Canis lupus familiaris: one gene and its partner. The protein of the gene in region 1 interacts with the protein of each later gene in a biochemical or structural test. Links are inferred from orthologs where the notes say so. Each region holds a gene or a part of one and is shown on either strand. Other genes may lie near its edges.

Region 1 (3,810 bases):
CAAACATACTCCATTTTTAAGACTTATTTTCTGCGGCATAGCTATTTAATTTGGGGGCGAGTTGGCAATATCTCTAAGGATTGTGGCGCTTCGCTGGGTGGCACTTGCTTCCTTTCCCTCTGAAGCTCTTCATTTGCAAGGCTGCTGCCACCAGTCACATCTGAAGACCTACACAGCCAGACAGGACAGCGTTGCCCGCAGCACACGTGTTGGAAGTCCACAGACAGGGAAGGCATCCTTGGAGTTGTGCTTAATTCCTTACTTGGAGAACTTGTTAGCAGACTACCCAGAAGCGTAAAGTGAAGCTATATTTCTACATACACTTTTATGGGGTGTCTTATGTTAACTGGAATTTATTCCATGGACTGCTAATCTTTTGCTCTCGGCCAGGTTTGAGGCATGAAATCTAAATTTGCATTTAGGTTGTCATCTTTTTGAATGTGTGTATATATATATTTGATCTTGAATTTATCCATTTACTTTTCTTCTCATACATTTGGCACATTGATTTTTTAATAGAAGAAGTTGGCAAAGGATTCCAATCCTGGGCCTTTTCTCAAATTGATATGCTAGCATATTAAGGAATCCAGTGTTTATCCAAGGTCAATTTCATTTTTCAAGACCCAGATTCTTTTTCTCCTGCCCTTGGCAGCTTATGTGGAGTCACCAGTGGTTCCATCTTAGGCCTTGTGGTTTACGTATCAGTTTTATTCTGAGATTTTGGAGACTCACACACACACCTACAGTGACGTGACCCACATTGACTTCTTTTGCAGGCGCTGCAGGCCCACGACTCTTCACCATACACCAGATTGATGCTTGCACTAACAACCTGCCGAAAGCCCACACTTGGTAAGTTGTTTTTGAAGCTTTTCCCCTGCATTCCATGTACGTAGGTGTTAGGTTTAAACCGATTTGAATTTGAGATTATGCAGAAATTGGTAGGAAAGCCTGAAAGTGGCAGTCTCTACTTTAGAGGAGTACAACTTTTTCTTTTAATTTTCTGTGTGTCATGAAATGTGATGTGACTGTATTAGTATACACTTGCTAGACCAGTTTGCTTATTCTGAATGAACTGTGTCAATCTGATTTGCTCATTTACAGCTTCAATCGAATAGACATTCCGCCCTATGAAAGCTATGAAAAGTTATATGAAAAGCTGCTAACAGCCATTGAAGAAACATGTGGGTTTGCTGTGGAATGACGGACTTCAAGGATTTACCCAGGACTCTATTTATACCCCGACCGACAGCCTCCTTTCAGCAAAGTTTCGCGGAATGCTGAAATACAGGAAAATGCCTCCCCCCCCCCCCAAAAGATTTTTAGGACACTGTGAGGGGAAAGGACAATTTTGAAATTCCTTTTCAAGGAAAAAAAAGAGGTCTTTATGCTTTGCCATGAGGCCACACTCAGCTGCTATTTAAAATTAATATCTTGAACCTAAAGAATGCTGACTTTTCCTACATTTCCAGAGTTAGGCAGTATTCTACACTTAAAGACTACTACTATTTTTATAAAAGGTAATCTATTCAAATTGCTCCACAGATTTCAAGTCTCTCAAACATCAAGACAACTTCAGCAGTCGGTACACGTCACATTTCATTTTGATTGAATACATGATTTTGAACAGCTCCTGTACTTGCTCTTTGTAAAAGAAAAATAAATAAAATTATTTTGAATTATTCTACCTTTGTAAACAATTGGCTAAAGGAATCATTATCTTTAAAAAACAATTAAGCCATTTACATGTTTAATTACATTTTTCTATAGCAAAGCATTATATTTTAAAAGCATTATATGTTTCAAACTAGCCTAAGTAAGTCTTTTGTATATTTTTCAAGCACGAACTTCCTGGAATACAGCCACATAATTTTGGTTGTCAGATTCCTAATGCAACCATTTAGTCTAAACTTAGCTTATTTGATACAGTAAGATGCATTCAGGGGCTCCTTTTTTTAAGAGACTTTTAAAAAAATCCTAATTTTTTTATCTTGAATCAGTATGATCAGGTATTTGGGATTTACTTCATCTTAAATGGAAATACTGCATTTTTATAGGTCCTCAGATTGTTGGATGGGATGGGATTTTCATTCTTTTGCTGGGTCAGCGTATCTTTAATATATATACTATTTCTGTAAACCAAAGTCTCCTATGACAAGTGCACCTAATTTATATTTTAATTATGGTCTAGCTTTCTATCAAGTAAACCATCCACAATCTTTGTTTAGCTGCTCAATATTTTAATCAGCTAAAATTATGACAAAGGAAAAATTTTATTCAGCCAGCTTAGAAAACCCCTGTTTTTACCTAACAAAATGAAGGTAGGGGTGAGGAGGGGGTAGGATTACTGGAGAAATAGTGATTCTGAATCTATGGTATAAATTACTTTAGAACGGAAGAATTCTGTTTTGGAGGTAAGGGAATCCCAGTTCCCTGGGTGTTGATCAGTGTCTGATTTTGAAATACCCAGATTGAGCTTTCAAGGTGTGTGGCATGTTGCATGATCCAGAAGGTAACCAAAATTCTGGAGTAAAGGATTGAAAAAATCTGAAGTCATGGGTGGCTTTTAAAATCCAACTATCAGAAATCTGCACTATATATATTTTTTCTTACACAGATGTGAATCAAGAAGGGCAAATTTTGATGAGATAGCTCCTTGGAAATGTTGCAGCTTAATTATCAAGTGAATAGGCCCTTTGTGTTCTTTCATCTGATGGATTGGTTTTCAGTCTGTGTTCACGAACCAAGGGGTTCCTCTGAGGTGCCTCAGAAGTAGTGGTTTAAGAGAGAAGGGGATGGAGGGAGAGGAGGGGCCTGGTTGGTATTTGAGTTGGAGCCTCTAACTCCCCACCCTCAACCCCTTGTACAGGAGCAGCTCCCAAGTCCTCTCTTTTATGTATTGGAATTCCAAGTAAGTTTTCCCAGAGGTGGGAGGTGGAGGCGGGCGGGGATAAAAGAAGCAGAAATTTTGCTGTTTAGAAAAAAAGAGTTGAGAACTGCTTGTGTAGTTTCGAAGCATTTGAATTTATTTCATTCAGCCAAATTGGACCGCTACATGCAAGCTAGTCGTAGTCCTGTGCGGTGGTAACGTGCTTCCACTGACCTTTTCCTTCCCAGACACCTTGTGTCTTAGTAGCACTCGAGAACATCTTGAAATGTACAGAAAAGGTTTCTAAACTCCATCAGTTGTCAGCTTTCACGGTAGTACCTTATCGGCTGCAGACTCATCTCTTGTATGTTATATTAAAGCACTAGTGCAGTGTGATTGTGCCTACTGTTACAATCTTCCAAAAACGAAGTCCATGCTGAACACATTAGAGAAGTCCTAACCAATGGATGCAGGAGTAAATGCTACTATCATAACGTACAGTAAAGCAGGCTAGTACCATCGCTTTTGAGTGCCTTTTTAACTTTATAATGATGACTTAATAGAGCTTTAAAAGAAATCTACCCTAGCAGTCTATGGTATCACCAACATGATTTATAAAGACATGATTTAGATTTCATTTTTCAAAATTACGTTACCTGATTACTTCCAAACAGGTGCTAAGCAAACTAAACCCCCACTGTGTCATTGAATCTGAGACTCGCCCCTCATGTGTAATGTGAATATTTATTTCCACACATCCCTCTTAGCTGGGTTTTTCTGCTCCCTGCCCCTAGTTGTGTTATTCCAGATATGTGATGTCACGTTTCCATACAGTGCCTCTCCATCATGAGTGCTTAATTATGAACAGTGATTACTTTGTAGAGCTCATATGCAGTACAGAGGTGAGTTTTGTTTCAGAGGGTCTAATTTCTTGATGTAAA
Region 2 (4,291 bases), on another chromosome or scaffold:
ATTGCTTTTGAAATCTTTGGACTTCTCATTTCTGACATACCCTTGCAATACTTAGTGGAAAACAGCTTTCATCTTACAAAAACTAAAAGCTTAAAAATGGTTCCTCTCCTCCCATCAGAAGACAAGGGATCTAAAAGACATGCCCCTCTCCATCCTTTAAAAGGGACTTGTCCCAAGAACATGAATAAGCCCCCATCTGCCAGACTGCACTAAATACAGCTTTTATATGCATTACAAAAACACCTGTATAAAAAGCTGCTACAAAACAAGGCCTTTGGAGCCCTAAAGCACAAAACCAACAGAATAAAAACCAAACAAGAATAAGGGGAGCTTTCAGACATTTATAAAAGCCCAAACTGAAAATATTTGCTAAATATAAAAATGGGTCTTTGATCAGTGGATGATGCAGCTCAACTGTTTTTCACTCACATATCTCCCCCCAACGTGAAGTAACAAGATTATGGCAATATGATTCTAATATTTACAGTAGGAAAATGAAAAGGGGACCTTTTGCCATCTTGAAGTAGAAACCAGCTTTGTTCCTATTAAAGAGAAAGGACTGCTGAAATACACAAAACCATCCCCAAATCCCTACTTAGTTAAAACACATACCGGGCCTGACAAGCCACAAACAACAGGAAATTACCCTGCATGGTTTCTTACAAGACTATTATTACATGAACCTTACAGACTGTGTAGAGATTTGATCACTTATGCCTAGGCACAGGTAAGAAGTTACAGCCACGAAAACCTAACTCTTGCTGAACACCTACAATGTGAAAGCACTATAGAAGGCATAGCTACAAAGTACAAAAGCGAAGCCCAAAGAGCGATTTCTTACTAAACAAGCCCAGAAATGGATGTTTCCTATCACATTTATAAAAACTGGCCACTGAACTACCTTAAACTCAACTTTAAGAGAACTAAGTGAGCACCTGGACTCAAAATATTCTTATTTACTACCGTAACTAGTTTTATGGCAAAAACTAAGGAACCTTAAAAATAAAGTCAGCGTTACTTTCTAAATTTAATGTAAATGTTTGGTAAATGACCGTCTGATTCAGAAAAATTCCACCAATATCCTGTATGGTTTTTTTCAAAGCAAATGAAAAAATAAAATCTTCAAACTAGGACACATTTATGAAATCCGTTTCACGTTATCTCTCCCAACTGTTACATTTGCTTCCCTTATCTCTTTATTTACATTAAAACTCCTCAAACTTCATTTAACTATTTAACTTACACTTCTACCTAAGAAAAACTTTTTAAAGGGAGTCAAAATCAAAAGTAGAACAATAGCAAATGTATTTTCAGAGTGGTAGCAAATTTGTTTTCTTATTCTGCTCAAGGAAAAACTTCCTTACAATCAGTGGTACAGGTTCAATTCACACAAAATTCAGAAGGAAAATGGAAAGGAACTAAGACTGCAGAATCATTAAAAATTCTGTAAATTAACTCAGATTTTGGGGGGGGGGGCACTTTCGAAAAATGGAATAACTCCAAGCAGGTCTGCAGTGACCATTTATTTATTCATTAATAGTTACTTTACATGTGTTACTTTAGAAGTTCAAGACAGCAAAATTGAGGACACTTAAAAGTGTAACAAACAAGACACGGTTTTCACGGAAAATGCTACTTCCAGAATCGTTCCACCCGGAGATGGTTTTTAAAATAATGGTTTAATGAACAACCAGCCGGTAGTATTTAGCTTTTAAGGGGTCAAGAGGAAGGAACACCAAAACCAACCTAGGTATTGTTTTTTCTTTTGTTTAGGATCAAAAGGAAACCATAACCACAGAAAGGTTAAGTAAGTAAAAGGCAAAAGTACCCAACCCCAAGGACAGTATCCCCCAAGAGAGAACAAAACCATTAAGGTTGCAAATGTGTAAACCAAGTTTGAAATACGTGAAATCAATTAGCGTGCTTTCTAAAAGGCGTGTGATAAAAACCAACAGGCTCCACTCCCAGGGCAACTTTCACAAGTGAGTGCAGGATCTCCACGGAGGATCAGCCGTGTGCCTGCTTGTGCAGAGTACACGCGAGCAGTTCCGAACCCCGGGTTTAGAATGGTTAACAAAGGTTACAGGACCAAAAAAAAAAAAAAAAAAAGTGGAAGCGAAGTATCGCACGCTCCTACCAGGGCTTGCCAACAACTCCCGAAACAAGAAGAGCTCGGTCCCTCCGGCTTTGAAAATCAGAACCACAAAGTACGAAGCGTGTTCGCGGCAGGGGAGACGGGCCACGGCCGGGCAGCTCCGGCGCCGACCCAGGCCCCGCGCCCCCCCGCGCCCCCCCGCGCCCCCGGCCCCGACCCCGCCACACCCCGGCCCCCAGGGCCGTGCGACGCGCCGAGCCTCGCCGAGACCCGAGCCCGACGCAAACACACCCCTACCCCGAGGGCCCGCCGGGCGCCGCCGCTTTACCTGCACCGGGGCTCCGGGTCCCGCCCCGTCAGAGCCGGGGGTCCGGGACCTTTTGTTCCTTCCTCTTCCGAATGGGATGAGGGGCTGGGAGGGGAGAGGGGAAGGGGCGACTGGAGGCGGAACTGAAAACACTCCCGCGGCCGCCCGGCCCGGCCCGGCCCGCCCCGCCCCCCAGCCAGTGCCCGGCCCGCGGCCCCGCGCGCGGGGAGGGGACGCGGGCTCGGCCACCGCCCGCGGGAGGGAGGGGGTGGGGACGCGCGTCCCGCCGCCGCCGCCGCCGCCGCCGCCGCCGCCGCCGCGCCGCGCCGCCGCCCCTCCTCCCCTCGGGCGCGAGCCCGCCCGCATCCCCCGCCCCCCGCCCCGGGCCGCCCGGACGGCCGAGCCCTCCCCCGCCGCGCCCGCCGGCCCACCTCCGCTTCCGCCCTGCGCCCTCCGCCGCCGGCCGCAGCGGCGCGGCGCGGCGCACCCACCTTCGGGCGGCTGGCTCGGCGCTCGCTGGCTGCTGGCTGGGAGCTGCTCCGCCGCCGCCGCGGCCGCGCGGTAGACCCGCCTCCCACCCCGGGCCGCGAGCCCCGCCGATTCGCCGGCGCAGCCCCGGGGCTGGCACCCTGCCGCCCGCTGATTGGCGCCCCCGGCCGCCCGTTAGGGCGCGAGGCACGCCGGCCGAGCGCAGCGCCCGGCGCGCACGGAAGACGGGGCGAGCGGAGGAGGGAAGGAGGGAGGCCGAGCGCCCGGGAAGGGCCGGGGCGCGAGCGGGGCTCGGAGACTCGCGGGCCACTACCTCCCCACCTCCGCTCCCTTCGGCCGCCCCGCCCTCCCGGCCGGACCGGCGGCGCGCGCAGCCAATGAGCGCGCGCGGTGCTCGGGGTGTGAGCCGCGCGTCGGGGGCCTCGAATCGGAAGGGAGACGTCGCTCGCTGATTGGTCCCGCCTCCCCCGTAGAGCGTGAGGCGAGGCGCGGCCGCCGGGCGGGCGGGCGGGCGGCCGGGGCCGAGGCGGGGTGGCACGCCCGCGGCCTCGGCTGGCGACGTCTGGGGCGCGCTGCCGCGGGCGGCTCCGCGGCGGGAAGGCGCGGGACCTGCCGCGCTGCCGGCCCCGGCCCGGCCCCGCCCCGCCGTCCTGCCCGCGCCATTGGGTGGGGCCCGTGGGCCGCCGCCGAGCCCACCGCCCGGACCCCGCCGCGAGCGGACACGTGCTCGTCCCGGGGGAGGCCCGAGGGCCGCCTCGAGGACGCGCCGAGCCGGGGCCGGGCCGACCGCGCCGAGTGAGTGGGCGGGGCCCTCGTGCAGCCGAACGGGGCGGGGGCCGAGCCGCAAACCGGCGCTGGCGGGGCTCTTCTCCGGGCCCCCGCGGCGGGCGGGGGGATGCCAGGTGTTTCTGAAGAGCCGGGACGTGGTTCCGCCTTCGCGGAAGGTGGTGCGACTGCCGCATGCTCCGAGAGGCCCTCGCCAGGTCTAGACGCTAGGAGCCTAACACGATGCTCCTCACCGCTCTCTGGCCCTCCCTTCCTCCTCGTTTCTCCGGCGTCCAGGCGGTGTTCGCAGGCCCCGACCCGGAGGCCCTAAGCTGCCGGCCGCCCAGGCCGTCCAGGCCGCCCAAAGCCGGGGGGGCGGCTGGGCATCCGCACTGCCGTAACCTTGTCGCTTTGACCCTGCAGACACCAAGCCTCGGCCGGAAGCATGGACCCCGACTAATCACGTTCAAGTATTTACTTACTAAGCATCTACTATGTTTGGCGGCGAGCACCGTAGGACTACAGATGAAGAGAGACCTAGGTCTTAGGGCAGGCTGTCGGTGCCAGAGCCAGCACTACAAACACCATTTTCTTGGCTCCCTGGCCAGCACGCATCGTCATCAGTCCTTAGGAAC

The links.
Region 2: the proteins of SMURF2 (region 1) and SMAD2 form a complex in vitro, tested with the Homo sapiens proteins (3 studies listed by BioGRID and IntAct, with this or other methods). The link is inferred for Canis lupus familiaris from reciprocal best matches to the Homo sapiens genes SMURF2 and SMAD2.

What each region holds. Positions count from the first base shown.
Region 1 is NC_049230.1:14,572,384-14,576,193, forward strand, and holds part of SMURF2 (E3 ubiquitin-protein ligase SMURF2), read left to right. Parts: intron 1-776; coding exon 777-852; intron 853-1,104; coding exon 1,105-1,204; 3' UTR 1,205-3,810. UniProt on the Homo sapiens protein: E3 ubiquitin-protein ligase which accepts ubiquitin from an E2 ubiquitin-conjugating enzyme in the form of a thioester and then directly transfers the ubiquitin to targeted substrates.
Region 2 is NC_049228.1:43,687,337-43,691,627, reverse strand, and holds the start of SMAD2 (mothers against decapentaplegic homolog 2), read right to left. Parts: upstream 2,992-4,291; 5' UTR 2,894-2,991; intron 2,508-2,893; exon of another isoform or gene 2,424-2,507; intron 1-2,423. UniProt on the Homo sapiens protein: Receptor-regulated SMAD (R-SMAD) that is an intracellular signal transducer and transcriptional modulator activated by TGF-beta (transforming growth factor) and activin type 1 receptor kinases.